6 linked regions of the Macaca fascicularis genome follow. The protein of the gene in region 4 interacts with the protein of the main gene of each other region in a pairwise test. Links are inferred from orthologs where the notes say so. Each region holds a gene or a part of one and is shown on either strand. Other genes may lie near its edges.

Evidence for each region. The genes of interacting proteins can lie anywhere in the genome.
Region 1: the proteins of DISC1 (region 4) and KALRN interact in a two-hybrid assay, tested with the Homo sapiens proteins (2 studies listed by BioGRID and IntAct). The link is inferred for Macaca fascicularis from reciprocal best matches to the Homo sapiens genes DISC1 and KALRN.
Region 2: the proteins of DISC1 (region 4) and RTRAF interact in a two-hybrid assay, tested with the Homo sapiens proteins (2 studies listed by BioGRID and IntAct). The link is inferred for Macaca fascicularis from reciprocal best matches to the Homo sapiens genes DISC1 and RTRAF.
Region 3: the proteins of DISC1 (region 4) and NEFM interact in a two-hybrid assay, tested with the Homo sapiens proteins (2 studies listed by BioGRID and IntAct). The link is inferred for Macaca fascicularis from reciprocal best matches to the Homo sapiens genes DISC1 and NEFM.
Region 5: the proteins of DISC1 (region 4) and TNKS interact in binary tests that used the Homo sapiens proteins (3 or more experiments, as listed by UniProt). The link is inferred for Macaca fascicularis from reciprocal best matches to the Homo sapiens genes DISC1 and TNKS.
Region 6: the proteins of DISC1 (region 4) and CCDC24 interact in a two-hybrid assay, tested with the Homo sapiens proteins (2 studies listed by BioGRID and IntAct). The link is inferred for Macaca fascicularis from reciprocal best matches to the Homo sapiens genes DISC1 and CCDC24.

The regions. Positions count from the first base shown.
Region 1 is NC_088376.1:159,202,139-159,207,222, forward strand, and holds the start of KALRN (kalirin), read right to left. Parts: upstream 3,522-5,084; 5' UTR 3,145-3,521; coding exon 3,072-3,144; intron 1-3,071. UniProt on the Homo sapiens protein: Promotes the exchange of GDP by GTP. Activates specific Rho GTPase family members, thereby inducing various signaling mechanisms that regulate neuronal shape, growth, and plasticity, through their effects on the actin cytoskeleton.
Region 2 is NC_088381.1:119,881,400-119,886,520, forward strand, and holds the start of RTRAF (RNA transcription, translation and transport factor protein), read left to right. Parts: upstream 1-1,600; 5' UTR 1,601-1,694; coding exon 1,695-1,755; intron 1,756-3,384; coding exon 3,385-3,509; intron 3,510-5,121. UniProt on the Homo sapiens protein: RNA-binding protein involved in modulation of mRNA transcription by Polymerase II. Component of the tRNA-splicing ligase complex and is required for tRNA ligation.
Region 3 is NC_088382.1:28,095,410-28,100,291, forward strand, and holds the start of NEFM (neurofilament medium polypeptide), read left to right. Parts: upstream 1-1,361; 5' UTR 1,362-1,394; coding exon 1,395-2,474; intron 2,475-3,206; coding exon 3,207-3,331; intron 3,332-4,740; coding exon 4,741-4,882. UniProt on the Homo sapiens protein: Neurofilaments usually contain three intermediate filament proteins: NEFL, NEFM, and NEFH which are involved in the maintenance of neuronal caliber.
Region 4 is NC_088375.1:17,053,759-17,058,180, reverse strand, and holds the end of DISC1 (disrupted in schizophrenia 1 protein), read left to right. Parts: intron 1-1,454; coding exon 1,455-1,593; 3' UTR 1,594-3,921; downstream 3,922-4,422. UniProt on the Homo sapiens protein: Involved in the regulation of multiple aspects of embryonic and adult neurogenesis. Required for neural progenitor proliferation in the ventrical/subventrical zone during embryonic brain development and in the adult dentate gyrus of the hippocampus.
Region 5 is NC_088382.1:11,351,337-11,356,425, reverse strand, and holds the start of TNKS (poly [ADP-ribose] polymerase tankyrase-1), read left to right. Parts: upstream 1-1,568; 5' UTR 1,569-1,594; coding exon 1,595-2,267; intron 2,268-5,089.
Region 6 is NC_088375.1:190,766,518-190,771,440, reverse strand, and holds the start of CCDC24 (coiled-coil domain-containing protein 24), read left to right. Parts: upstream 1-1,402; 5' UTR 1,403-1,508; coding exon 1,509-1,634; coding exon of another isoform or gene 1,635-1,649; intron 1,650-1,784; exon of another isoform or gene 1,785-1,843; coding exon 1,844-2,058; intron 2,059-2,154; coding exon 2,155-2,271; intron 2,272-3,512; coding exon 3,513-3,590; intron 3,591-4,075; coding exon of another isoform or gene 4,076-4,091; exon of another isoform or gene 4,092-4,225; intron 4,226-4,400; coding exon 4,401-4,455; intron 4,456-4,910; coding exon 4,911-4,923.

The sequences.
Region 1 (5,084 bases), on a different chromosome or scaffold from region 4:
AGATTTAGGGAATCTAGCCTAACCAATTGGTCAAGGGATTGAAATACCAAAATAATCAAGAGAGGACAAGTAAGGAACCAAAATGACAGAATAATTCGAAATACGCCTAATTAGAAGCACAGTACGCCAGAATTTTGACAAAGCAATTTCCAGTTCGGTCCTTGTGCATACAAAATTTTCCATCAGAAAGAAAGGGGTAACCCTGGTGCTAGGGACTTTGAAAATTTGTTTGAAGGTTTCTCAGATGTTCAATTGAATACATTTATAATCTATCCAGCCTGTCAGGTACAGTGCTATATTCCATAGAGATGGGGAATCAGAAGGGAGGTTTAGAAATATGGCTTTTCTAAGCTTAAGACTCTCCACCAACGCATATGTTTATTGCAGCACTGTTCACAATAGCAAAGACATGGAATCAACCTAAATGCCCATTAACGGCAGACTAGATAAACAAAATGTGGTACATGTACACCATGGAATACTATGCAGCCATAAAAAAAGAATAAGATCTTGCCCTTTGCAGCAACATGGATGGAGGTGGGGGCCGTTATCCTAAGCAAACTAACACAGGAACAGAAAACCAAATACTGCATGTTCTCACTTATAAGTGGGAGCTAAACAGTGAAAACACATGGACACAAAGAGAGGAATAACAAACACAGGAGCCTACTTGAGGGTGGAGGGTGAGAGGACAGAGAAAATCAGAAAAAATACTTGTCAGGTACTATGCTTATTACTGAGGTAATGAAATAATCTGTATACCAAACCCCTGTGACACATAGTTTACCTATATAACCTGCACTTCTACCCCTGAACCTAAAATAAAAATTAACAACAAAAAAAGACGAATCCCCAGCAAGAGCCTAGGCTAGAGACCAGAAGTGTGGTGAGAGTCAGTGAGCCAAGCATAGAGGGCCACACATGGTGGGTGTAGTCCTTGACCCACCCCCTCTTGCAACATGTTACAGGTCATCAGTCATTTCCAGCCTTATGCACCAAGGACTTAACCTTTCTCTGATACTAAGTGCACATCAGACTTAGCTCAGCCACTGGGCTGCCCAAGGAGGAGGGAGAATATCCCCAACATAGGAGTCCCACAGGAGACTGACCCGAGTCTGCTATTTATTTTGTGATTTGAGCCAGGGTTGGATAATGTGTGCCATACGTTGTGTTTTGAAAGGCCCTGGGAAAAGTTACACATTGGACTATTATTGGCCATTAACACCATTAACACTGTGTGAATTTATTGTCAGAAATAAGCCTCCAGGAACTGAGCTCTGCTACAGGTGCCTGGAACAGAAAATGAACAGGACCTAGTGTTTGGATGATACAAAGGGGAAAGAGGAGTGGACACCAAAAGGTAAAAGTGGGGTCCTGAAAGGGAAGGTGGAAAGGCTCACACTTCAAGATTTTTCCCCTAGAGCTAAGAAAATGCAGACTTTTGCCCCAGTTGGGAGGCAAGAGGGATCAGCTGGGTTTTTGATTGACTGGTCAATTTGTTTCTAGCCCCAGTTATGAGTTCCCATATCTCCCTTCCTCGTCCTCATAATGAGTATTTCTGGATATCACTTAGCCCCCAGAACCTTGTCCCTATATTCCACCTCTTTAGAATTCATGCTTTTGGGTGCTGGGCTGTTTGTGTATGAGAGAGAAGAAAGAAGAGAGAGAAAATATAATCCATGTCTCAGGAAGAGGAAGAAGGGAAGGAAGGAGGAAGAGAAGGAAGGTAGGCTTAGACCTAGGAAGCAGAATAGAATGACAGGGGCTCCCTCTGATTTCCCCAGACCCTGGCAGCAGCTCCTGTCATCCAGCTTTTTCCTCTGCACATCAACTAGAGAATGAACATATGAGCCAATCAAGTCTTGACTTCCAAAGCCACAAGTCTCCCCCACAAAGCACCCCACCCCCTTCCCTAGAGATGACCTCCAGGGCAAGGTAACAGGGTTAGGAAACAGATGGATGTGCAGAGACCCTCCAGAGCTAACCTGACCCCTGACCCCCACCAGTTCATGTCCTCTAATCCAACTTTCCAAAAGGGAGAGCAGATGCATGGGACCCCGGTAACTTACTGGACTCTTTGGGACAAAGATTCCAGACAAAATGGTTTCAGACATGTGGGGACATGGGGAGCTACACACAGAAGCTAGTGGAAGCCACAGGTACAGGGAGATGGGGAATCCCTGGCCATCAGAGAAACAGGGTCACAGGTGGTGGAAAACGAGGATGGTCAGTGCCGGTTCCCGGGAGGGACTGTGTAGCCAGGGAGCAGGAGGAGCAATGGACCCGGGACATGGACGGTGGCAGGGGCGCAAAGATCTAGAAAGACATCTCAGGGCTCTACACCTCACAGCAAGCAGAGACTTAGTGGGTGTGTATGAGAGGGACGCTAACTCACACTTCCAGGAATGAGTAATTCTTATGAATAGCTCCTCCGTTCCCAGAACTGAAGAGGAGGACAAGGGGGAGGTCCGAGGCGCCCACCGCCCTCCCAGCCGGGTCTGCCTCTCAAGTGAGAGGGGCCGGCTCCCCACACGCACCAGGCGAGACCCATGTCGTCCGCCCCGCTCCTGTCAGTCTGCAGCCGGCGCGGCTCCGGGTCCCCGCCGCCCCTCTGTGCACATCAGGGCCCCGGGCCCCCGACGGCGAGGAGGGGTGCCGGCCCAGGGCTGCCGCCGGGAGCCCCGCTGACAGGCACGGGGGAGGGGGAGCCAAGGGAGGGGCCGGGACGCCGGTAGCCGGAGCGGCGCGCTGCAAAGTGAGCCAACACCGCCCATCCCCGCGCTCCGGGAGAAGGCGGCCCGAGGGGACCGCCTCCCGCCTCCCCAACACGGACTCCCGCAACTGGGATGAAGGCGGAGGGGCGCGGAGTTCCCAGCCCCCACGCCCTCCCCAAACGCAGCCAGCACTGCCATAACAACCAGAATCTCGGCAACTCCCGCCCCGACGCCGAGGGGGCACTGGCCCCCAACACGCACGCGGCAGCAACAGCCCTCCTTCCCCAAACTTGTCCAAGACGCCGCGTCCGAGGCAGCAGCCTTCAGCCCCGGCCCCCCGCGCCCTGCCCAGCTTACCTGTCCGGAAAAAGGCGTCCACGTCCGAGTCGGCTGCTCCTCCTTCCTCCGCTGCTCCCTCAGGGGGGTTCATGACTGTGGGAGGGCGTCTGAGGGCAGCCGGGGGCCAGAGAAGCCTGGGGCCGAGGGCTGCTAGGCGCCCGATGGGCGGAGGGCGCGGGGCGCAGCGGCCGCGGCCGCAGAGCTGGCGGCCAGGGGGGCTTCGAGGGCGGGCGCTGGGCGGTGGGGCAGGGGCAGAGAACGCCGAGCCTCCCTCAAGCGGAGGCGCGCGGCGGGCTAGGGGTGCCTGCCGCCAGCTCCCCCATGGTACCCCTTCCCCAGGGCGCTGGCCGCCTGCTGTCTGGCTAGGGCCGGGAACCGAGGCCGGGGCGCGGGCTGCCTGGGTGCCCGCTGTCCCCCAGCAGCGGCAGCTGGCTCTCCTGCTCGCCTGTCTGCCTGTCTCTATTGTTCAGCCCTGCTCCGCTCTCTCCTCTTTATTTTTCCTCCTCCCTCCCACCCTCCCTGTCTCTCTACCTCCTCCCTCCCTCGCTCACTCGCTCACTCGCTACCTCCCTCCTTCGCTCGCTCGCTCTCTGGCTCCCCCTCTGGCTCCCGCCGCAGCCGCCGCCTCCCCAGCTCCTCCCCCGGCTCCCGCTCCCTCAGTCGCCGCCAACAATGACCCCTGGAGCGCCGAGCTGAACTGAAGCTCCAGCCCGGGCCGAGGGCTCGCTGCGGGCCCCCGGCGGCGCCGACGCCCCCTGTCCCAGCTTCCCTGCGCCGGCCTCCCAGGGAGCGAAGCCTGAGTCCCGAGCTATTGTTCGAGGCTGTGCTAGGCCGGCTTCCTGAGCTCGGCAGGAAAAGCCCGGGCCGAGGAGGGGGCGGGGCCGCCGGGCGAGCCCGGGGCTGCAGGGCGCAAGCCAGCCTAGTCCAGGGGCTCTGCGGCCCGGGCGCTGCGCGCTCTGCTTCTCCGCTCCCGACGCCAGTGCTCCACCCGGCCCAGCGGCCACCTCCTCCGCCCACTCCACTCCCAGGTGTGTGAGGGGAACACCAGGCTGCCCGCCCGCCTTCTCCGGATCTTCAGATCGGTCCCCAAGCTGGACTGACCTGTCCCTAGAGGCCGGCCTTTCTTCCCCTCCTTCCTGACGAACTCTCTTCTGTCTCCCTGCCCTCCTGAGCCTCTCACATTTTCCTCACCAGCTCGCCACAATTTCTCTCCTTTTTGTCTTTTCTCGTCCTTTTCCCCTTTTCAGCGCCCCTTTAAACATCTCCGCCTGTCTCTGTGACTCTTTGTCCAGTTTAATGCTCCTGTGATGTTTCCCTGCCTATCTCTCCCTCCCTCCGTCACTCTCTTGTCCCTCGTTTGTCTCTGTCCTGCCTCCGTACTTGGCCCTATCTCCGTGCTCCTCTTGGACAGCTGTCAAAACTCTCTAATCCCTGGGGCCTTCTCGGTTTTGTTCTTCTCCCTCATGTGAATGGAGAGATCCAGTTGGCCAGGAGAAAGGAGGTGTTACAGCAAGCTGAATTTCAATTAAAGTGGGGAGAGGGGCTGGGGAGGAGTGGGGATGACTGCAAAAAAGAAAACAGATGCTGTATGGGGTAATTAATGTGGTGATTGTATTGTGCCCATCAGTTTTTAAGTAATAATTAAACAATAATTATCCAGTAGTGTGTTTGTGGTTCTAGTGACTGCAGAGCCCACCAAACAGAAGGTCTTTAAGACCTGAGTACTTAATAAAGTCTGCTGAGCGCTGTTTGCTGTTGCCTCATCCAGACAGATGGAGAAGTGGTGGCCTGACCTAATGAGTTAAAACACGCCTAATAGGAAAACCAGGTACTTGTCTGAAGTTGATGACTGCAACCCATCAGACAGAATCTCCTGGAACTGTTTGTCTCTAGTAACCTATTTGGTTCCACCTCTCTCTGGGGGCCAAGGCAACTGGGGCCTATGCAGATCCACCAACTGGGTAACCCTAGCAGCAAATAAAACGAATTAAATGGCCAGGCGCGGTGGCTCAAGCCTGTAATCCCAGCACT
Region 2 (5,121 bases), on a different chromosome or scaffold from region 4:
AGCATGCCCAGCTAATTTTTCCTTTTTTATTTATTTATTTCTTTTTTTTTTTTAAGTTTTAGTTTTAGTAGAGACAAAGTCTCACTATGTTGCCTAGGCTGGTCTCAAACTCCTGGGCTTGAACTATCCTCCCACCTCAGCCTCCCAAAGTGCTGGGACTACAGGCATGAGCCTCTGCACCCGGCCTGCACTTCTTTGTAGTACATTTTATACTTCTTGTAATTCACTTACCCTTTCTAACTCTAGATTATAAGTATTTATTTACACATCTATGTTTGTCATTATACTTAAATTTCCTGAAAAGAGAGACTGTAGTTTACTCATTTGTATACTCCACAGATCCTAAGTGTTTAATTAAAATCTGTTGAAATGAAATGAAACATACATAGTTGGCTTACCCTCAAGAATTTCAATAGCTTCCCTTAGCTTGCCATGAGAGGCTTGTCCTAATCAGACCCCTGCCTTTGTCTATAGTCTTATCAGCTGTCATTCCCTCTCACCCTCAGCCGCTACAAGCTCTAGTCCCTCTGGGCCATGCTGTTGCTCATTTCCTGCTTTATACAGCCTCTTCCCTCAAACTAGGTTACCCTTTTGACTGCACGGTGAATGCCTCACCATCCTCAAGCCTTAGTTTATACTTATCTATTTATTGTTTCCCTCATTAGCCTTTTAAACTCCATGAAAGTAGGGGCCTGGTCTGTCTTGTTCACTGCTCTCTCCACTGTCTGAAAAGCAAGTAGAGACTGCATCAGGAAAGATCTTAAATACAATATAGAGTTTTGATTATTTCTAGGAGGTAACCAGGAATCACTGAAACATAAGCAGAGAAAGTTATGGCCAGTTTTTTGCTTTAGAAAAATCTCTCTCATTGCTGTGTGGGGGAATGGTGTGGAGAAAGCAGGACTGGCCCTAAGAAATCAGTCAGATAATTAGAGTAAGCAAAAGTGATGAGGGTCTGATTTGTGGCTGTATCAGTGGGGTCCAGAAGGAGGTGAGGGATTTGAGAGTTAGGAGAGAATGGCAGGAATTGGTGACCTACTGGATGCTGTGACCGAGGGTGAAGGGGAGTGAGGGACGGGAGTGAGGGACGGGAGTGAGGGACGATCTCGGCTTCAGATTTCACTCTGGCTGAGGATATCTGGAACGATCGCATCGTATTAACAGTTGTATGTGTACCTGTGGATCACTCCCAACTAGTCTGAAAGCATCTTACTACAGGGACTTTGCTTTGTCGTCTTTGTATTAGAAGAGCACCTATTATGTAGGAGGAGTAATAAATGAACGAATAAATGAATGAATGCACTCAAAACACTAAACAGTAATTCTGTAATCCAACGGGAGGTACAGCGAATACTAAAAGCCTACATATACTATTCTCTGCATGTCATAGCAAGAAAGAAAGGAAAGTAGCTTCCCAGTGGTTTTCTGCCTAGTGTACAACCAGGAAGCTGACAATAAAGTTTATTTGAGCGACGTCGTGCGCCGACGTGGCCCCGCCTCCCCAGTCGGAGCCTCGATTGGTGGGCATTTGCCGGCGGCCACCGCTTAAGCTACGATTGGCGGAGGCCGCCGTCATTTCGGAGCGTCCAAGCGCCAACCCGCCCTCTCGCCGCGTCGCCGGTGCCTGCGCCGCCCGCTCCACCTCGCTTCTCTCCCGGCCGAGGCCCGGGGGACCAGAGCGAGAAGCGGGGACCATGTTCCGACGCAAGTTGACGGCTCTCGACTACCACAACCCCGCCGGCTTCAACTGCAAAGGTGAGGCGACGGCCTTGGGCCGGCCGGGTGTCCCTGACCTGGGCGGCGGTCCCAGCCTCAGTGCCCCCACCCCACCTCCCCGTCCGGACCCTCGGCGGCCTGGTTTCCGCCGCCGGCCTTCGGGCCCCTCTCCTCTGGGTCGCCACGCACCTCGGCTCTTCGCCGCCCCTTCCCGGCTTCAAAGTCCTCTCACCTACTCCTGTCTCAGCATGTTACTTTCTGCACTTGCTTAACTCCAAACACCATGTAACTAGCTTCTCAGCACATAAAAGGAAGAGCATTCGTCTTTCTCACTCACTATTCAACTCCACGGTTCCCTGGGTAATTAGGCGATACCTTGAGCACCTGCTAATTATGGGCCAGCGCGGTGCTGGATGCTGAGGAAGGTGCTAACTTGAAGACTAGCTCACTGCCTGCCAGGAGCTAAAGGGTCGAGGGGTGCGAGGGGTGGAAGCAGTCAGAACTCACTGAGCGGTTTGAGACAGTACACAATGAAGTCAGGACCGATCACAGTGGGAGGGTAAGCGCGTGTAGTAACGGGCTAGTTGTGTTGTGTGGTCTTGCAAAAAAAAGTTAATAGCAGATGAATGGGAAGGTTGAATTGTAAATACAAAGGTATTTGGGATTTTACAGCATTAGAATTTTAAAAAGTAATAACGTTGCTACTCACTGTAACAAAACTACTGCCCACTACTACTCATTTCCTTTGTATAGTTCTGGCCTGTGATAGACTGGTAAGTTTGAAAGTGATCAAGTATAACTTGTGATACTCAGACCATTGTATAATTCTCAAGACCTTATAATGGAAGCTTGAATTTGACTCACAAATTGAAAATAATATCTAAGCAGGATGTCAGTGTTTTGTTGATCTCTTGTAGAAGCATATCAAATTATAATCTGTTGTTTTTCTGCTTTAACAAAGTAACGATGAAAATAGAGCCTTGTTCTGAATTGGAATCTTTGAGTCTCAGTGTTCTTTTCTGTAAAACGGGATATTACCTACCTCAAAAGAGGTATGGGGAGGATTAAACAAAACAATGTATGCATTTAATGTGCAGTTAACATTACATGACAACAGTAGTCACAGTTTTTTGTCATTTAATTTCTTTTACTTTTGTTATTTATTTTACTTTATTACTTTGCTATAAATTTAACCTTGCCCTGTCTCCCCTTTCTGTCTGCAAAGGAACTGGAATATTAATATTTAACACTTAAATAGCAAAACTATGTGCCAGGCACTGTTTTTATCCGTATTTATTTTATTTAAGAAACTTCTTAAATAAAACAACTTCTTTTAATCTTCATAATTCTATAGGTAAGTTCTGTTAGCAGCCTCATTTTGTAGCTGAAGAATCTGAGGCACAGAAAATGTGGGTGATTATCCCAAGTTCACACAACCAGTAAGTATCTGGACCCAGAATTTGAATTCAGGCCAGGATTTGAACAGATCATTGTTAATCTGTACTTTCAACTCCAGAGTCTGTACTTTCAACTCCCTCTTTTGGTTTAATTAATTTAGTATTTTGAAGTTAAGAAAATTCCACAAGAACATATATCTGAACATATACCTGAGAAGGAGGTATTTTATATAGTGCTTCTAGTTATTTTATGTGATGTTTTTTATTGCAGATGAAACAGAATTTAGAAACTTCATTGTTTGGCTTGAAGACCAGAAAATCAGACACTACAAGATTGAAGACAGAGGTAATTTAAGAAACATTCACAGCAGTGACTGGCCCAAGTTCTTTGAAAAGGTAATGAATTAGGAAGTAAAGTAAAAGTACAGAGACCTTGTCTGAAAATCATGTGAAGATGAGTGTAAAATTACTTTCTTCTTTTAAGATAAAAGTGATAATGATCAGTGTTAGGAAAGCTGGATGTCAGGGATTTCGCTTTTTTGTTAGATGCATCTTTTGCTTTTAGAGCAAATCATTTTATGTCTTGCTACCAGGCTTTCATTATTAGATAGAAATAGTTTTCTCTAGAAACATGAAGTTTCTTAAATAAATAATGATGTAAATATTTCACTTTCCCTTTATGGCCCAAATCAGAATTTTTGTCAAACTGAAAACGTAGCAATAATACAGTGCTATTTCTTATATTAAAAGAAGACATTGGCCAGGTGTGGTGGCTAACACCTATAATTCCAGCACTTTGGGAGGCTGAGGTGGCAGATCATTGGAGCCCAGACACCAGCCTGGGCAACCTGACGAAACCCTGTCTCTACAGGAAAATAGAAAGTTAACTGGGTGTGCTGGCACACATTTTGTAATGTTAGATAATCGGGAGGCCGAGGCGCTCCACCACTGTGCTCCAGCCTGGGTGACAGAGTGACACCTTGTCTCAAAAAAAGATATCATTGACATGCTTGAAAACTAAGACTGTCATGTTTATGCTTATATTTAATGTAAACAGATATCCCTTGTTGTATACTAGAGAAATAGTCCTTAAAAGATCTCTGGTATATCATATTTTTGTTCCTAAATCATTTTCCCATTGATTTCGTTTTAGTAACACTTTTGCATAAAAAAGAATTCTCAGAATAAAAATCCGTTTACAGTGTCATTACTTACATTAAACATTTTTATCAGTTATATTTGATGAGTGAGATATTTTTCTTGAAAAAGGCTGTTTTTCATTTGTTAGAGCAGTGTGATTAGGTACTTTGTTCGTGGAATCAGTGATTTTATAAATTAGGGATTGTATAAATTACATCAGTGTTGTTAACCTTTCCGTGTCTCAATTTTCTCACCAATAAGTGAGGGTAACAATGGTACCTCCCTCACAAATGTGGCTTTGTTTTTAATGAGTAACTGTTCACAGAAGTCCCTGGCGCATAGCAAGTGTCATAAGCTTATTACTACCAAGCCTCTATACTGCTACTATTAATACTACTGTATTCCTTTGCTCTTAGGAAATATTTTTAAAATTTTCAGTAAACTTCTTAAAACTTCGAAATATATTTTTAGGATTTTATGTTTGTTTATATTACATTTTATGGTCTATTCATGTGTACAAGACAATACAGAATTCTACATGTAGAAAGGTATTTAGAGAATATAAAAAATTTTCCAGGCTGGGCATGGTGGCTCATGTCTATAATCCCAGCAGTTTGGGAAGCCAAGACGGGTGGATCACCTGAGGTCAGAAGTTCGAGACCAGCCTGGCCAACATGGCGAAACCCCATCTCTACTAAAAACACAAAATTACCCAGGCGTGGTGGCGCATGTGTGTAATCCCAGCTGCTCAGGAGGCTGAGCCAGGAGAATCATTTGAACCCGCAAGGCAGAGGTTGCAGTGAGCCAAGATTGTGCCATTGCAATGTTGTATTACATATAATTAATGTTGCCTATAATACTATTATAT
Region 3 (4,882 bases), on a different chromosome or scaffold from region 4:
TTGTGTCCAAACTTATCAAAAACTATATTTCCCTGGACTTTTCATCCCAACAGATTTCAAATTCTCCTTTCCAAGGAGTATTTGACCTTCACATTTCAGGCCCTGTATCTCTTCATCTCCTATACAATCATACGTTAGAAAACTCAAACTGGGCTGCAAGTACATATTTCTGTTAACTGACTTCAATGAATTTTGGTTGTTTTCAAAATCTGCAATCTGTTCATTGTGCCAGCCCTGCATTGCAGAGAAGTCTTAGCCTGCGATTCCAGCTTCGCTCCTGCAAAGAGAGTCACTACAGGCAGGTTTAAATTGTATTTGCTCGGAGAGAAGAGGGGGAAGGGAACCCCCTACCCCCCGCCAACCTGACAGGCCAGGCTGGGTGACAAGCCCCTGGGAGGCTGCACCTCCCGCTCGCCCGACCTGGGCGCTGTCCTTGGTGCTGCCGGCGCCATAGCGAGCACAAGCGCCTTACCTTCTGCCCCTGCGGAAGCTGCGGACGTCCCCCAAACGTTAAAAACGCAATATCCCACTTTTTATACAAAAAACTACCCTGGCCTGTTCTCTTTGTCCCCTTCCCGAAGCCTTCAGGCAGACGGTTCCTCAAAGTATTTTTTTTCTTTTCTTTTTGTCTTCTAGACCCAGCTCCTTGGCGCTCATCTCCAGCTGCTTTAAGACAGGAGTGGGGGAAGGGGAGGGAGGCAAGAAAAGATGAGGGTGGGGGAGGGGAGAAGAGGGAATGCAGGGGGAGGGGAAGCAAGAGACGGAGAGAAGGAAAGATTGGAAGAAAAGGGTCCGCGAGGAAGGGGCTGAGAGAAAGGCAGGGTGAAGCGAACTAAAGGCCGGAGCAGGAAGGAGAAGAGGGGCCAAAAAAGAAGGGGATGGGATTAAGCACAGAAGATGGGTAAAGAAAAAAGTATCGGGGAAAGGGTAAAAGAAGAGAAAGGCTTGAGGGTAAGAGGGTAGAGGGCTAAAGAACAAGGAGACCAGGGGGTCGGGGAAGCGCTGCCCGAACGGTGGGACAGTGACAGGCAAAGAAAGGGCGCTGGCGATATTTGTACCAAGGGTGCGAAACGCAATCGGGAAGTGAGAAATGGAGAGAAGGCGACTGCCCGGCGACAAGTGGCCTGGGACTGAAAGGGAACCTGGGGGAGGGGCTGGGCCCAGGGCAGCAAAGTCCGGGTTCCCATGCGGCCTGGGCCCACGTGGAGCGGGCGCTGAATCACCGCTCAGCCGCCCCCCTCCCCTCCTCCCCGACCGGTGCCCGCAGTCCCCGCCTCCTCGGCCGCCGCCTCCACGGGGCGGGGCCCTGGCCCGGGACCAGCGCCGCGGCTATAAATGGGCTGCGGCGAGGCCGGCAGAACGCTGTGACAGCCACACGCCCCAAGGCCTCCAAGATGAGCTACACATTGGACTCGCTGGGCAACCCGTCCGCCTACCGGCGGGTAACCGAGACCCGCTCCAGCTTCAGCCGCGTCAGCGGCTCCCCGTCCAGCGGCTTCCGCTCGCAGTCGTGGTCCCGCGGCTCGCCCAGCACCGTGTCTTCCTCCTACAAGCGCAGCATGCTCGCCCCGCGCCTCGCCTACAGCTCGGCCATGCTCAGCTCCGCCGAGAGCAGCCTTGACTTCAGCCAGTCCTCGTCCCTGCTCAACGGCGGCTCCGGACCCGGTGGCGACTACAAGCTGTCCCGCTCCAACGAGAAGGAGCAGCTGCAGGGGCTGAACGACCGCTTCGCCGGCTACATAGAGAAGGTGCACTACCTGGAGCAGCAGAATAAGGAGATTGAGGCGGAGATCCAGGCGCTGCGGCAGAAGCAGGCCTCGCACGCCCAGCTGGGCGACGCGTACGACCAGGAGATCCGCGAGCTGCGCGCTACGCTGGAGATGGTGAACCACGAGAAGGCTCAGGTGCAGCTGGACTCGGACCACCTGGAGGAAGACATCCACCGGCTCAAGGAGCGCTTCGAGGAGGAGGCGCGGCTGCGCGACGACACTGAGGCGGCCATCCGCGCGCTGCGCAAAGACATCGAGGAGGCGTCGCTGGTCAAGGTGGAGCTGGACAAGAAGGTGCAGTCGCTGCAGGATGAGGTGGCCTTCCTGCGGAGCAACCACGAGGAGGAGGTGGCCGACCTTCTGGCCCAGATCCAGGCATCACACATCACGGTGGAGCGCAAAGACTACCTGAAGACAGACATCTCTACGGCGCTGAAGGAAATCCGCTCCCAGCTCGAATGCCACTCCGACCAGAATATGCACCAGGCCGAAGAGTGGTTCAAATGCCGCTACGCCAAGCTCACCGAGGCGGCAGAGCAGAACAAGGAGGCCATCCGCTCCGCCAAGGAAGAGATCGCCGAGTACCGGCGCCAGTTGCAGTCCAAGAGCATCGAGCTAGAGTCGGTGCGCGGCACCAAGGAGTCCCTGGAGCGGCAGCTCAGCGACATCGAGGAGCGCCACAACCACGACCTCAGCAGCTACCAGGTAGGAACCGCGGCTGCGCGGCCAGCCTGCGCCAGCGCCAGCGCCGCGCGCCCCCGACACTTGGGCGCGTGCCCAGGAGCCCTCTCCGCCGCGCTCTCTGGCGGCCGCTCGCTAGAGCGCGCGCGCCGCAGACTTAGGGTAGTTTCGGATCAGCATTCTCGCCACTCTCATTCTCCATACTCCGCCCCCACCCACCTGCCCCAGCTGCTTAAAGGTCTTGACCTTTTTCAAAAACGTACTTCTTTTCCAGTTCTAATTTTGCACGCTTGCACGTTTAAAGCAGGAGGGATAAATTCGGTAGTGGATAAATCAGCAACTTTAGGATAGCTTATGCAGAAACCCGTGTATTCTCTACTTTTCCGGCAGTGATCGGAAGAGCTCTAAAAATTGGCTTCAGCCCAAAGGGCTCAGATGGGAATGGCCAGGTCAGCCATGGAGTTTCCCCATGCATGTTTGTGTCCTGTTGAGACGTGTTCTAAGTCCACTGATCTCCGTGCGTGATGTGCCCAGGAAGTGTCCTATTGTCTTACTGATCTTGTATGTTCCTTGAGAATCCCTTAGATTTAAAAGAAAAAAGGGGTGGGGGAGGGGGGCTGGGAGTCGGGTGTCAGCGAGGTTTGCAGAAGCGGATAGAGATGGGAGGAGGCGAGAGGGAAGGGGTAGCAAGTGGTTTGCGAAGGAAGTTGCTGTTTGCAAGGATGAGTCTAGGGAGACTCTCTGTGTCTGTTTCAGGACACCATCCAGCAGCTGGAAAATGAGCTTCGGGGCACAAAGTGGGAAATGGCTCGTCATTTGCGCGAATACCAGGACCTCCTCAACGTCAAGATGGCTCTGGATATAGAAATCGCTGCGTACAGGTACGGTGCTCACTACATGCGTATCCGGAACACTAACCACCATGCAGAGGCTGTTCGGGCAGAGCTTTCACCACTAAAGTTAAAGCAGGCAGGGTGCAGGCATCAACTCAGCGCCTGGTTTTCTTGCTTACTTAGAAAAAAATTATTCTAAAGAATTGCAAGTGTAGTTTTCTCTCTTTTTATGCAGCTTTAAAAGAATAAATACTAGTAGAAGCAAAAGATTTTTGAATTAGACGAAGGAGGTGCAGATTAATCTCAATGCATATGCTTAAACTTTTTATGAAAAAATGTTTTCAAATGTTGGAAGCATGAACAGAGTTTTGGTTTCTAATATTTCATCTAGTGGTTTCAGCTTTTCAAATTTATAATGTCAAGGACAAACACCAGGACATTCTATTTCTCTGTTTCTCTGTTATACAGCTTACTATTGCCATCATCTGGCTGAGAATAGATATAGAATGATATATTAGAATATAGATACAGTTATTTTATATATGTAGATAATTTATATGTATTATATTTTATGCTAGACTATAGTATAAATTATATCTATATCATGTATAATATTAATCTAGATCTATAGATACATATATGTGCATATGCATATAAATCTAGATATATAGACACAAATGTGTATGATCTTTTTATAGATAGAGAGATACGTTATAGGTCTATTAACTGATGTGACCTTGCTGTTGACTAAGCGCAAAGGACAAAATCGTTGATTAAAAATTTTCTACTACCAATAAAGTAGTTATAATATAACAAGAATAAATTGCATTTACAGAGCTATCTCTCTTTTCAGGAAAGCTGAATAACTACATTAAATAGACAATTTATGGTAAAAATTATCGACCAATTTATAACTTGATACACCCATATTAACACCTGGCTAAGTTCTGAAATATGCTTAACAGCAAGATTTTTATGAAAGTTATATTTGCTTTAAAAATAGTACGTATCCTGAAAATCTAAATGTTTAAGAAAGTGACTACTCTCAGAAAGGTTATTTGGCTTTAGAGTTTGGGGGCTTTTGTTTGTGGCTTTTTGTGTTTTTGTTTTCGTTTTTGTTTTTTCCTATTTGGCCACTAACAAGTTTTTCAGCATATTCTTGTTGGACCTAATGGATCTCTACTGCAGGGCCAAGACTTAGTAGCTGGGTGTGGTTAGTGGACTATTGGGCAAGGTTAGTCATTGTAGGGGGCAGTCCAGGAGAACCTTTCTCTGTCACTGAGTATGACGTAATATGCAAGTAAGTGATAGCAGGTATTATAACAAATTGATAGAATATTTTACTTATGTAATTCTATTTCTTCAAAGGTAGCTACTACAATACCCAGAATGTAATGAAACTCAGAAGGCCCAGAGAAATTTTTACTATGTCTTATGTTCTTTGATTTTCTCCTTAGAAAACTCCTGGAGGGTGAAGAGACGAGATTTAGCACATTTGCAGGAAGCATCACTGGGCCACTGTACACACACCGACAGCCCTCAGTCACAATATCCAGTAAGATTCAGAAAACCAAGGTGGAAGCTCCCAAGCTCAAGGTC
Region 4 (4,422 bases):
TCAACCTGGTGAAACCCCATTTCTACTAAAAATACAAAAATTAGCATGGTGGCACACATCTATAATCGCAGCTACTTGGGAGGCTGAGGCAGGAGAATCACTTGAACCCCGGAGACAGAGGTTGCAGTGAGCCGAGATCACACCATTGCACTCCAGCCTGGGCTACAAGTGCAAAACTCTGTCTCAAAAAAGAAAAAAGAAAAAAGAAAAAAAAAAAAGAAAAAGAAAGGGAACGCTTTCCACAGTGGTTTGTAAGGGTGTCTTTTTCTCTTGTCGTTGCATTGACGTTGCACTTTGGGAGAACCACATGGTAGTGTAGGTGGTGTATAAACAGTCAGACTCCCTCTCCCAAAGCTCTCCATTCCCTCCGTGTCTGATCTAGTACTATTGGAGTGGTCTGGCTTCATGTGATGACTTCAGCATATTTAGGTGGTGTCAGCATATTTCTACTTTCCCCCTTGGTCCCTGTTGGATGAAAATGGATCAGTTTGCTTGTTAAACCCAACTCTCACCCTGCATTTGCCTTAGAGTTGTTCTGACTACAAGTAAAAAGGGAAAGGATGAACTGGATGATGTATGGACAGAAAAACCACTGTTGGTTAAACATTCCCCTGCTTGAACACCCAGACGAGAACCCGTTTCTTAAGAGAACTACAGCCTTATCTATTACTGTTTGCTAAGTTCTCTTTGATTGTTTCCTCCATATGAGAAATAACTTTATAGGTTAGAAAACGAAGAGCCCAACAGCTTAAGAAAAAAAAAGAACCAACCAACCAAACCGGAAAAGGCAAACTCTCTGCCCTTTGATGGACTCTATCTAGTCTTGAGTGCCCTTCCTAGTCCCTGGGAATATACTAACAGGTAACAGCAGGTTAGACCTGGAGGGGTTTCAAAGTCATCATCTCAAGAGAAAACTAAGGCTTTAAACGGTTTGCATAGGGTGACAAGACTGGTTAATGGTGAACAGAGACCGTGTTAATAACTGAGTCTGGTCCAGAATGCCTCTCCCGACTTATGGTGACCCCAAATCCTGTATTTCTCGAGGAGATTTTGATTTCAAGCATTCTGCCCTTTCCACTGTCAAGAGTATTTGCATCTGACAGTTGCCCCGCCCCAACTTGGGGTTTAGCCGGAGTTATGGTCACGCCAACTGCATATCATTGAGCATCTAAGTTGGCCATCTGTCTCGGCTAAGAGCTGACTCTTCCATTTCCTTTTTAAGACCTGACTTGAGATAGTCAATACCTCAGGCATTGTAGAAATTGCAGTCATTCTTAAAAGAAAAAGTATAAAATTTATATTAATATTTAATTCATACAATTTGAAAGAACTTGAAACTGCAATTAGGTGGCAGTGCCCATCTGCTTCCAGTAGGCTCACGTGCTCTTCGATCCCTTGGAGGCTGCAGAGGGCCACCATCACCTTCGAATGTGCTCCTTAACAACGTGCCCACAGTCTCTCAAGAGGGAGCTCCAGATGGTGAAGGAAACTCTGCAGGCCATGATCCTGCAGCTCCAGCCGGCAAAGGAGGCGGGGGAAAGAGAAGCCGCAGCTTCCTGCATGACAGCTGGTGTCCGGGAAGCACAAGCCTGAGGAGAGACGGGATGGGGGAGGGAGGTGGGCCACCATGTCAACAGTTTGGACCTGGGGGGCTGCTATCCCCTCCCCCTGCATAACTAATGTGCCTGAGTTAATTATGGAGATACAGAGCCTTGAGGTCTTTCAGTGGAAAGGTGGCTCATGTTCATTCTCATGAGTCTGAGGAGTCTGCAAATTGGAATATGGAGAGAGAGACGGATTTGCTGAATTTCCTTCCAAATGTCACTCAAAAATTTCTCTTCCATGTCATTCATGGGAATGGCTTGCACAGGATTTGAGAATATTTTCATCTCAGCCCCCATTAGAGAGAAGTTGGGGTGAATTCTGGAAAAATGTCTCTTTTCCCTGTAGCATTTGTCTTCTGCTGCGACTAAAATATTTCCTGATTCAAGATTCTATAAAAAGGAAACCAAGCATAACACTCTGTCATCATACCTGTTACACATTCCTACAGGTGCACAATCTAAGAGAGCTAATTAACCTCAGAGTCTGGAATTAACAGCTTTTCACCTTACTTCTCCTGTGATCTAATATTATCTTAGAAAAATTAATACGCAACTTTCAAAAGATATTTTGGTAAGACAGCAGCCTCTCAGTGGTATGCCACCTTTCAATTTTCCTTTTGTGGCAATGATTGCACCTGAAGAAAGGATCCCTGAGAGTCTGTGTTTCATCAGGAAATTTATGAAATTTACCCACAGTGAGGCTGTGGATGGATCAGGGGAAACCTGTATAAAATGTTTGAGCCTGTTCTGTTTTCCCGTGGAACCTGTTTCACTCAATGCCAGGCAGTGCAGCATTTAGGAAAGCAGTGCAGTACTCAGTAAGGCAGTGCAGTACTCAGTAACACAATACAGTACTCAGGCAGTGCGGTACTCAGTAAGGCAGTGCAGTACTCAGTAACACAGTACAGTACTCAGTAACACAGTGCAGTACTCAGTAATACAGTACAATACTCAGTAAGGCAGTGAAGTACTCAGTAATACAATACAGTACTCAGTTAGGCAGTGCAGTACTCAGGGAGTACAGTACTCAGTAAGGCAGTGCAGTACTCAGGAATACAGTGCAGTACTCAGTAAGGCAGTGCAATACTCAGTAATACAGTGCAGTACTCAGTAACACAGTGAAGTACTCAGTAATACAGTACAGTACTCAGTAAGGCAGTGCAATACTCAGTAACGCAGTGCAGTACTCAGTAACAGTGCAGTACTCAGTAATATAGTACAGTACTCAGCAAGGCAGTACAGTACTCAGTAAGGCAGTGCAATACTCAGTAACACAGTGCAGTGCTCAGTAAGGCAGTGGAGTGCTCAGTAACACAGTGTAGTACTCAGTAGGACAGCACAGAACTCAGTGACACAGGGCAGTTAGTACTCAGTACTATAAGTATAGGCAATGTAGTACTTAGTAAATCAGTGCAGTACTCAATAATGCAAGGGCATTTCAGGCTCCTGCTGGGCTGCTTCTTTGGCCCAGCTGGGACTCCTATTGAGACAGCTGCAAAACAGGCTGATTTCAATTAGGCAGCACTTCCCAAAATGCACTGAGGAAGGTGGCCCCAAGAGATGCTCTCTAAACAAAGGAGTCCCCTCTCCGGTCAAGTGCCTTTGATAAATACACCATACCATAATATCTGCTTGGAGAACCACAACGCGCATTAGCATATTAGTCTGAGAGAGAACTTATAGTAAGTAAACTCACTTGATTTTATCTAACCTCAAACTTTCCAAGCTTAATGGATCGTGAATTTTTCTCATGTAACTCCTATTCATATCCCACAGATCTAGTATTGTACAGCACTGCATTCTCTGAGGAAGTCCAAGTCCAAACTCTGATTTACATCACTGTAGAAACCACACTCACAGTTTTGCAGAGTGTTGAGCTTAATAACTACCTGCCACAGATCGGTAAATTTAATCCAGTGGTTGTTCTGTCTGTGCTTCTGTTCTCATATATGTGATTAGGGACAGTGATGTTCCTGCCTTCACTAGGATCCATGGATATGAGGCCATTTTTGTTATTTCCTGAAGTCACACTGGCATTTCCAGAAGGCATCTGGTGCTTTGCTCAGCCTTCCATGCTGTGCCGCACTTCTGTCCTCAGTCAAGGAGATGGCCCTGCTGAAGCCAGCAATTGGCTGGGGTCCAGGAAACAAACCAAAAACACAATATGTGAATGTGCTGATTGTGTTCCCTATGGCTTCATCTTGAGCAAAATACACTCTACATATTTTAATAATAAGTATAATTAGCTTGTTCCTGGACTTCATTTTTCAATGATGAACCAAATTCCTCAATTATTTATAATTGTGTCTAAAGAAAATTATGAACTGGTCGCATGGCACTTGGAGTCCTTGAATTAATTCCAGTGAAGCAAAACTTGGGAAGAGTCAGGATTGGCCACATTGCCAATAACAAATTCCTACTTCGACATATATCTTTTTAAAAAGCCTCCCAGACATAAGACATCTTAACCGTCACTAGCCCAAGTGTTTTGTATTACACAGACACCATCATGAAATAATTCTGTGAGGTCATGATGTATTTGAAAATTCTGCAAGTTAATAACTGCCTTGAATTATTTGAACCCCAAATAAGGGTTCTTTGGTACCTCTAGTAGATAGTGTGTTCATTTCCCTGCTGCAAATTTTGAAGTATTTGGGCAGGTGAGTAATGTTTTAACCATGTGCTGTAACTCATCTGTTGTCTTGGCTTGGTCTTAGAGTGTCGTTCAGAAAGCCTGCTAAGGGCCAGAGTGCTTCTTCTGGCTACACAACCTCCTCAGGACAACCCCACTGTCTTAAGCCACTGTGTCTTGACCCTG
Region 5 (5,089 bases), on a different chromosome or scaffold from region 4:
CATGAAAATAAATGCCATTCGTAATACTAATTATGTTCCTGACCTTATTGTATTTAGTTAGTAACCCCAAATAAACTCATCTATTTATTTGAATGGGAATATTAACATCACATAAATCATATTTAACAATGAACACATGAAACAATGTATCACCTGGTTTAATATTCTGCTTGACTCATCTAAATCTTGTTTCTCTTAGGTCATAGAATTTCCATCTGTGTTCACTCTATTGGAATAATGCTGTTTGTGTATAATTCTATAATGCCGGCTTTACTATTGAACAGTAGGTATGGAGTCTTCAATGGGATTATCTCATTCACGGATACATCTTTTGATGGCAGAAAAAAAAAGTATACATAGGTAGGGGAAAGACAGAAAAAGCAGTTGCTGAAAAATAGGACCTGATGGTGAGTAATGGACAGCAATCTGTAACCCAGGCTGGAGTGCAGTGGTGTGACCTCAGCTCACTGCAACCTCTGCCTCCCGGGCCCAAGTGACCCTCCCAACACAGACTCCTGAGGAGCTGGGACTACAGGCGTGTGCCACTTTGCCCAGCGAATTTGTGTATTTTTTGTAGAGATAGAGTTTCACCATGATGGCCAGGCTGGTTTCGAACTCCTGGGCTCAAGTGATCCGCGGGTCTCGGCCTCCCAAAGTGCTAGAATTACAGGCATGAGCCACCGTGACCAGCCTTGCAATCAGGTTTTTATCCGTTTGGGATGTGGGAGAGGCTAAGCTAAACTAGAATTCAAAAGAAAGGAATATATTCATAATTAGTTAAACGTAGGGTGAAAAATAAAATTTCAGAGATAAGCAGAATAGGAAAAAAATCATTATTTTAATAATTCACACCTATTGCACCATTATTTCAATTTTACAGAGAAAAACAGGCAGAGTGATGAAATGGCTCATATATACACAACAAATGGCAGAGCTGGAATGCCAATCCTAGCAATCTAAACCAGCATTTAAAAACGAGGAATTAAAGCACATAGGGTGAGAAAAATTATAGGGAAGGGACAAGAGCTCAAGGACACACCTGGAAAATACTATAATTTTAAAAATTACCAATGGGCTAATTATAGTTGTGTTTTACTGGCAGAGCGCTTTGTCTATGTTAGCTCTTTTAATCCCGCTAATAATTCTGTGAGGTTGGTACTATTAGTTCCATTTTTCAGACGAGGACGCTTAATAGATGATAATCGACACATTCTCTGCTTGCTCTGAGCTGCATCTCAACAGCTGGCTCTGGAGCAAGCAAAGGGAGACTGAGGGAAACAGAGCGGACCAGGGCAAGCCGCCTGAAAGTGAGAAATGCAAGAAATGTTTCTCATCTAGGCAGGAGCTGGTTCCAGCATTCAAATCTCTCCAGCCGGCCCGCCACCACGTCACAAACCCCGCCTCTCAGTGACAAAGCCCCGCCCCGTTCCTTTGGCTGTTCCCTAAGCTCCCAATACTTCCCTCTTTCTCTTTGGCCCCTCCTACCCCGCTAGCATCATTTCCTGTGCGCTGGATGCTGATTGGTCCGACGGTCGGAAGTGAGGGCGGGCGGTGGGGGCCGTTGCCGCAGTGACAGTGCTAGGGGAGTCCGAAGATGGCGGCGTCGCGTCGCTCTCAGCATCATCACCACCATCATCAACAACAGCTCCAGCCCGCCCCAGGGGCTTCAGCGCCGCCGCCGCCACCTCCTCCCCCACTCAGCCCTGGCCTGGCCCCGGGGACCACCCCAGCCTCTCCCACGGCCAGCGGCCTGGCCCCCTTCGCCTCCCCGCGGCACGGCCTAGCGCTGCCGGAGGGGGATGGCAGTCGGGATCCGCCCGACAGGCCCCGATCCCCGGACCCGGTTGACGGTACCAGCTGTTGCAATACCACCAGCACAATCTGTACCGTCGCCGCCGCTCCCGTGGTCCCAGCCGTTTCTACTTCATCTTCCGTTGGGGTTGCTCCCAACCCAGCCGGCAGTGGCAGTAACAATTCACCGTCGTCCTCTTCTTCCCCGACTTCTTCCTCATCTTCCTCTCCATCCTCCCCTGGATCGAGCTTGGCGGAGAGCCCCGAGGCGGCCGGAGTTAGCAGCACAGCACCACTGGGGCCTGGGGCAGCAGGACCTGGGACAGGGGTCCCAGCAGTGAGCGGGGCCCTACGGGAACTACTGGAGGCCTGTCGCAATGGGGACGTGTCCCGGGTAAAGAGGCTGGTGGACGCGGCAAACGTAAATGCAAAGGACATGGCCGGCCGGAAGTCTTCTCCCCTGCACTTCGCTGCAGGTCAGAGACTTTTGAATTGTTTATTAAGGGTTTTGGGTTTGGGTGCAGGGTCCAGTTAGGACAAGAAAGCAGGTTATTGTGATGGGACAAAGTGGGGGCGTGGTCATGGTTCTTCAACACCTCACCAGAAGACTAGAGGTGCCTTTCTTTTGATGGTGTCTGGGTGATGGGGGCGTGGTTGGGGTGGGGGGATAAATGAATCCAAGAAATTCTTCAGTGGTTGCACAGTTTAGTTTTCGGTGTGCAGGAATAAAGTTAGATTTGGACAGCTTTAGAGTAGTTTTGTCATTTGTGTGCTATTTTGTTTTTACAAAGGTATGTCCCTTGAGGAGAGTCCAGACCAAAAGAGGTTTAATACAACCCAGCAAATGTTTGAGCATCTATTGTAGCCTTAGTAACCCAATGAAAGACAGAAATGAAGTTTATGAAAGTTTCCCTTCTTTTAAAGAAGTTTACAGTCTAGATGGGGAGACCAAAATATGCCAGTGTGAAACAACTGGAGAACAATATTTGGATGCATTATATGATGATAGAAGAAATACAGGCTTTGATATTGTGGCCACTATTATTTGTTGTATAGCAGACCGTTTACCTTGTGTCAGTTGCCTCAGTTTTCTCATGGGCAAAAATCATAAAATGATGTTGTGCGAGCATTTGGTGAGACGTATCTGGCACAAAGTTCTCCCTCAAAAAGTGTGAATTTCTTAAGCTCTGGACCTCACACTTGTCTTTTTTTTTTTTTTTTGCAAATAGTTGATGATTTTCTCTCAAAGACACCTAATAATATGTTTATAAAATAAAGAAAACTGTAAAAGAAAAACAAAGGACTATAATTTCACTGCCTCGATACTTACTGTTGATATTTTAAGCATATAGGTAATAATGTTATATACATTAGAAACATTATATTAGAAATACATGTATTGTCCCAAATAGGACAGAAAAATACAAAATGAAAGGCATCACACGCTCACAAACATCAAAGATAACACACCAAAGATAACTTCTGTTAAGTTTCTCTTATATTTCTAATATATATATGTCACTTCTTCAGTTTGTTCTGTTAATAGTAAAACGTGTTGACCCACTGTAGTAGTATTTATTTTTACCACACTTGGGAGATATGATTAACCATTTTACAGATGACAAAAGTGAAGCATATATAGATCGTTTAAGTAAGTCCAGATTCACTCAGGAAATAGTAGAAATTGAGTTTGAATTCAGGTAGTTTGACTTTAGAGCTTGTGAGATCAAACTTAAACTGTCAGAACCCTGGATTAAGGTCACTTCATTTTTGTGAGTAATTGAAGTGTAGAGTTCCCGATTTTGGGGAGAAATAGTAATGGGGAGGGGCTTATATGCAAGACAGTAGCTTTCACATGTTTTTTATTGTAGCCCATACTTAGAAATACATTTTACATGGTCACATATGCAACTGAATCAAAAGCTTCTGGAAACAATACTTTCCCTTAATTTATGTGTTGTCCTCTGATAGTTTATATCTTATTCGATTTCATTTTTAGTGAATGCTGCTTGTGATCCATTAATGGGTCATGACCTGTGGTATGAGAAACACTTAAAGGAAATTATTATTAGGTCACTGGATTCATTCTTGATATACAGACACTACTTACTAGGAATGCAGTGGATTGAATCATAAACAGACTTTTGTCTATTTGTTTGCTCAAGGGTCTTGCTTGTTTTAGATGAAATAGCATTTCTTTTTCTTTAGGCTAAATGAAAGGCCCAAGTCTGATTTTATAAATCAACAGAGGTGTCTACTTTTGCATACTTTATTCCAAGTTTGACTATTTTAACAAATTGTTTCACCAATCAGGTTATTTCTCACCACCCCACTTTATGAGTAATCACCAACAAATGATAGTTATACTTATGTGTATTAATGTATTTAGGATAAGTCACACAAAATAGTGCTTGTTTCTCAAATCACATGTCTTCTATTTGCTACAATAGTTACTTGTTATTCTGTTTCGGAGTTTTACATACATCCAGATTAGCTAGAAGATAAACAATAAAACAGTACCGTAATTATGTTGTAGTTATGAGAACCTAACCTTGAATCGGCTTTTTAAGAAAAATTTTAGCTCAGTTGTGGAAAACACAATAATAAAATTCTCAATGATAGGAAAACATAATATCCTGTAGTCAGTTTGCAACACTTCCGTGATTGAATGCATAACATTAAAGTTTTATTAAACTTTAGTCTTCTTTATCATGTATAGGCTGAGAAATGAAAAGAATTATCAGTGACTGGTTATTATGATAGTAATTGAATTGTCATGGAATAGCTGTTTTAAAAATGAGAAATTGGTACAATCCCTTGAATGAAAAAATTTAAAAATTACAGTTTATTTGTTCCAGAAATATTTTAGTGTACTTAGATGATTGGATGTTAAATACTGACACAATTGTGTAATGGCAAACATTCTGTAAGCCTTAAGGAGCTTACAGTCTAGTAGGGAAGCATAAACAACAACAACAAAAACCTGCAAAGTATCTAGTGTCTAATCTGGCGTGACAGGAAACGTACATTATACTGTCTGTCCCAGTATGTAATAGGAGCTCTTATCCTTGCTTTAGAGCAGTTAAGGAAGTCCTTCTAGGTAGATTTTTTTTAAAGCAGGTGTTAAAAGGGTGAGCCCAAGCTAGCCAAGCAAAGGTTGGAAGGGATGATGTTAACTAATACTTTTATTTCTATTTAAAAATGAGTTTACAGTTCTATGGAATGAAATGAAACAATTTTGTTTTCTTTCCAACTTTTAGGCTCAGGGGTTGTATGTGCAGGTTTGTTACATGGTTAA
Region 6 (4,923 bases), about 170 Mb from region 4:
GCGGTACCAGGTCTTGGAGGTGTCTCGGCAACCACTCTTCACCAATATCACAGTGGACATTGGGCGGCCCCCGTCGTGGCCCCCTCGGGGCTGACACTAATGGACAGAGGCTCTCGGTGCCGAGGATTGCCTGCCAGAGGACTGACCACAGCCTGGCTGGCAGCTGCTCTGTGGAGGACCTCCAGGACTGAGACTGTGGGCTTTGTTTTCCGAGGGTCTTCAATAGGCCCCCTAGCTATACCTGGAAGTTTCAGAACCCACTTTGGGGGCCTCCTGCCTGGGCAGGCTCTTCACAAGTGTGGCCCTCTTTGGAGTCAACCCTCCTTCCTGACCCCCTCCCCCTAGCCCAGCCCCAGTCACTGTCAGGGTCGGGCCAGCCCCTGCACTGCCTCGCGGAGTGGCCTGGGCTAGGTCACTCCACCTCTCTGTGCCTCAGTTTCCCCCCTTGAGTCCCCTAGGGCCTGGAAGGGTGGGAGGTATGTCTAGGGGGCAGTGTCTCTTCCAGGGGGAAATTCTCAGCTCTTGGGAACCCCCTTGCTCCCAGGGGAGGGGAAACCTTTTTCATTCAACATTGTAGGGGGCAAGCTTTGGTGCGCCCCCTGCTGAGGAGCTGCCCCAGGAGGGGACCAGAGGGGATGCTGTGTCGCTGCCTGGGATCTTGGGGTTGGCCTTTGCATGGGAGGCAGGTGGGGCTTGGATCAGTAAGTCTGGTGCCCGCCTCCCTGTCTGAGAGAGGAGGCAGGAGCCCCAGGGCCGGCTCGTGTTTGTACATTGCACAGAAACTTGTGTGGGTGCTTTAGTAAAAAACGTGAATGGAGCAGCTCCCTTGTCTGGGGGTGGGGGTCGGGTCCCTGAACATGGTTACCCTGAGTGTGTTGTGGTGGAAGGGCACTTGGCCCAACAAGTAAACCTGATCCGGGCCATGCTGGTTCTCGGAACGCTGTCACTCCCTAGGCTTCTATTGGCCTTAAGGGGAAGTTTGTCCTTGCACTGCTTCCGGGCCAGTGGAGGCGACGAAGTAATAAACCCGTGGACCCAGATTTCTCAGGTCTTAACACGTTCCCTGAGGCCTAAAGGTGCCCAGGGCCGAGCCCAAAGTGCCTGGGGTCAGGGCTCGGTGGAGCACTAAGTCTGAACTCCCAGCCTGCAGGCGCCGCCGCCGGACCACACACGGGAGGGGGCGGGGCCTAGAGTCGCGGCGCGGTTTCCCGGGTGATGGCCACGCGGAAGAGGTGGGGCTAGGGCGCTGGTTCCCACTGCCTGGCTTCTGGGCCCGCGGCATACGAGTTGACCAAAAGCCTGGCAGAAGAGCGCGCCAAGGAATGGCGGTTCTGGACGGGGCAATCCCAGCTGAGGGGACCGGCGGCAGAGCATGGGTGGGGCTTGGAAGAGGGCGGTCCTCATAGAGGGGCGGGGCTTGGTGAGCGTTGCCGGCGGGCCCGCGGTACCTCCCGCGCTCTGACCTGCGGCTTGTAGGTCCGAGCTGGGGACGGCGGCGCGGGTGGGTCATGCTTCGTCACTCCCCCTCGCTGTGGGAGCTGGTGGAGGAGCACATTCCGCTCCGGGAGCGACCCGAAGTGAAGAGGATTCTGGGGGAGGCGGCGGTGGACCTGAGCCTGGAGCTGCGGGCGGAGGTGGGGAGAGGGAAGGTGGGCCACGCCCCTGGGTGTGATTTCCCACCTCCTGCGGGTCCCTGGCCCTGCCGGGGAACTCCCGAGATCCTATTGGGTCTCACTGTCCTGGCCCTCTCCCCTTTGACTCTGTCCTCTCCCTCACTCCCCCAGCCCCCACCATTCCGGTCACTCCCCTCCCCAGTCGCAAGGTATCCCAGCTCTCCTTGCAGGTGGCGATGTTACGGGCACTGCTCCAAGAGGCTCGATCCTCTCAAGCCCCCAGCTCCCGCCCCATCTCTGACCCCTCTTCTCTTCTGGCACCACCGCCTCTCCTAAAGGACCTCTTGCGCCAGGAACTCCGGCAGTTGCTCCAGGGTCTCCACCACAAAGCCATCTGTGAGGGCAGGTGGGAGCCTCAGGCCTGGGTCCTTTCCCCAGATACCAGGTGGGCTAGCCCTGCCCCTAACAAAGAGCCAGGGTTGCCTTTTCTGTGGTTTCCAGAAAGGAGCCTCTCATCTTCCTTCCTGTGCACCTTCTGCAGGGACCAGGCCCAAGCTTGGGTCCAGTATAGCCCCAGGGTCCTGCACTTTGCCTTGGAGGAGCCCAGGTGTGATTTGCCAGAACAGGAGATATTCCAGATGAGAGGTGGTAGGCCCAGGTAAGGTGATGGTAGGAGAAAGGGATCTGTCCCTGCTTGGCAGAGGGCCCTAGCCAACTGGTGGGTTGCACCTGGCTCCATGCAGGAGGTTCCAGTCACGGGCTGGGCACTTCCACCACCACTTGTGGTAGAGATCAGCACATGAGGGCTGCCGAAACCCAGAGGAAACACCTGCCTAGCCTGGGGACAGGCAAAGCTTCCTGGAGAAAGTGGTTTGATCTGCGTGTTGTCGTATGAGGAGCAGTTTTCAGGGAGATGAAAGAGAGAAGAGCTTTGTAGGAAAAGGGAAGAAAGTCCAGCAGGCGATTGCTCCTCTGGCCTAGAGAACAGGAGTGAGGGCTGGGTTAGGGAGGCAGGGAGAGCTAAAGAGGATGGCTACAAATGGTATTTACAGCTGGGACTGAATGAGATAAAACATTCATAAGTGAATGGCAGCAACTTCTTTTTCTAATCCTCACACAGCCTGAGGTGGGCAAAGTCTGCACTTTGCACAAGAAGAAATTAAAGGCCGGGCATAGTGGCTCATGCCTGTAATCCCAGCACTTTAGGAGGCTGAGGCAGGAGGATGGCTTGAGGCCAGGAGTTTGAGATCAGCCTGGGCAACACAGGGAGACCCCATCTTTACAAAAAGTGAAAAAAAAAATTAGGCGTGGTGGCACATGCCTGGATTCCCAGCTACTTGGGAGGCTGAGGTGGGATAATGGCTTGAGCTCAGGAATTTGGGGCTTCAGTGAGCTATGATTGCACCTGTGCACTCCAACCTGGGTGACAAAGACCCTGTCTCTAAAAAAAAAAAAAAAAGAAGAAGCCTGGGCAACATAGTGAGACCCCGTTTGTGCAAAAAATTGAACAGGTGTGGTGGTGCACACCTATAGTCCCAGCTACTCAGGAGGCTGATGTGGGAAGAGCACTTGAGCCTGGGATGTCAAGGCTTCAGTGAGCCAAGATGGTGCTACTGCACTCCAGCCTGAGCAACAGAGCACAATCTTGTCTCAAAAAAACAAAAAAACAAAAAGAAAAGAAACTAAAGCTCAGAAGGGATAAGTGCTTTGTCTGAAGTCACACACAATGAAGGGTGGCAGAGCTCATTTGCAAAACTAGGCTCCCAAACTCTTACTCTTTGCACTATATTATATTGTTTTTGTGAGAAAAGAAAGACAGTTGTCTAGGAGAAGTGATGTTTGGGTCCTGAAGGCCTGGGGTGAGCAACATGGGGAGAGTAATAGTGACTTCATTGCCAGCAGTGGTCACAGAGATCTCAGCATCATCAAGGACCAACTGAACGTGTCCAACATTGACCAGGTGGCCAGACATCTGAGGTGAGGCCCAGGGGCACCTGCATGTGTGTAGGCAGGGGTGGAGACAGGGATGGATCTTGGCATGCTGGGATTGTGAGAGAGGAGGAAGGTAACATACTGGGTGGGGAGACCCATGTGTGTCAGGCTGAGAGATGGAAAGAGCTGGCTGCTGTAGAGCTAGTGAGGTTGCTTTCAGGAAGCAGCCAAGTACAGATGCCATGGCCGAGCCTGCCTATAATCTCAGCAATTTGGGAGGCTGAGGCAAGAGGATCATTTGGGCCCAGGAGTTCGAAACCAGCTTGGGCAACATGGCAAAACCCCATCTCTATCAAAACATACAAAAATTAGCTGGGCATGGTGGTGCATGCCTGTACCAGCTACTTGGGAGGCTGAGGTGAGAGGGGATTGATTGAGCCCTGGAAGGCAAGGCTACAGTGAGTCATGATGGGTGGCAGAGCAAGACCCTGTTTTAAAAATAAATATAAATATCTTGACTCTGGGGGTAGCCACAGAGGATTTTAAGCAGAGGAAGGGCTGTGATGTGAGGGAAGATGGAGGCAAGTAGAATCACAGCGCAGAAGTGCGGGAGAGAGAAGGATGCCTGCCAGGGTGAGGTAGGTGAGGGGAAGACACTTCCTGCCCAGAAGGAGCCTTGTGGGGGCCAGAAGTCTATGCTGGGGCAGCCCACCAAGAAGCAGAGGGCAGTGTGGGCTGAGGAAGGACAGGTTGGGTGGGGCTTCTGCTGAGGCTGGAGGTTGCGGCCATGTGGTGGACTCAGCTGAGCCCTGGTCCTATGTCTCGGGTTCTGGCTGCTGCTCCCTCATGTCCCAGGGGCCTTCTGGAGGAGGAGTGTCACACCTTGGAGAGGGAGATCCCCATCCTGCAGGTGAGCCACAGCCCTGCGCTCTCCCCCAAGCCTCACTGCTGAGCATAGACACTCATGCTTCTCACCTGGGTGAGGCCCATGTACCTGTGTGCATGCATAGGTGCGTGTACAGGCTGTGTGAGTCCCGCATCCGTTCCTCAGGGATACATGCTTGTGTGCACCTGCAAAATCCTAGAGGCCCAGGATTCTAATTGAGCCCTTAAGGCCAGGGCCAACGGTTTTAGGTCTTTTGCCTCCTTCCTTTACCTGGGTCTGGGTACAGGCCCCACCATTATCTTGCCAAACTCAGCTCTTCTGCAAGGCTGGTATTCCCTGGGGAACATGGCTGCCCTCATGGTGGATGGGCTGAAGGGGCTACATGGGCATGCCCTAGGGATCTAGGCCTCTGTATCCTGCCTTGCCCCACCCCTACCTTGAGTCTGGGCACTGACAGCTCTCCCTGCCTCTCCCTGCAGCGCTGCCTGGAAG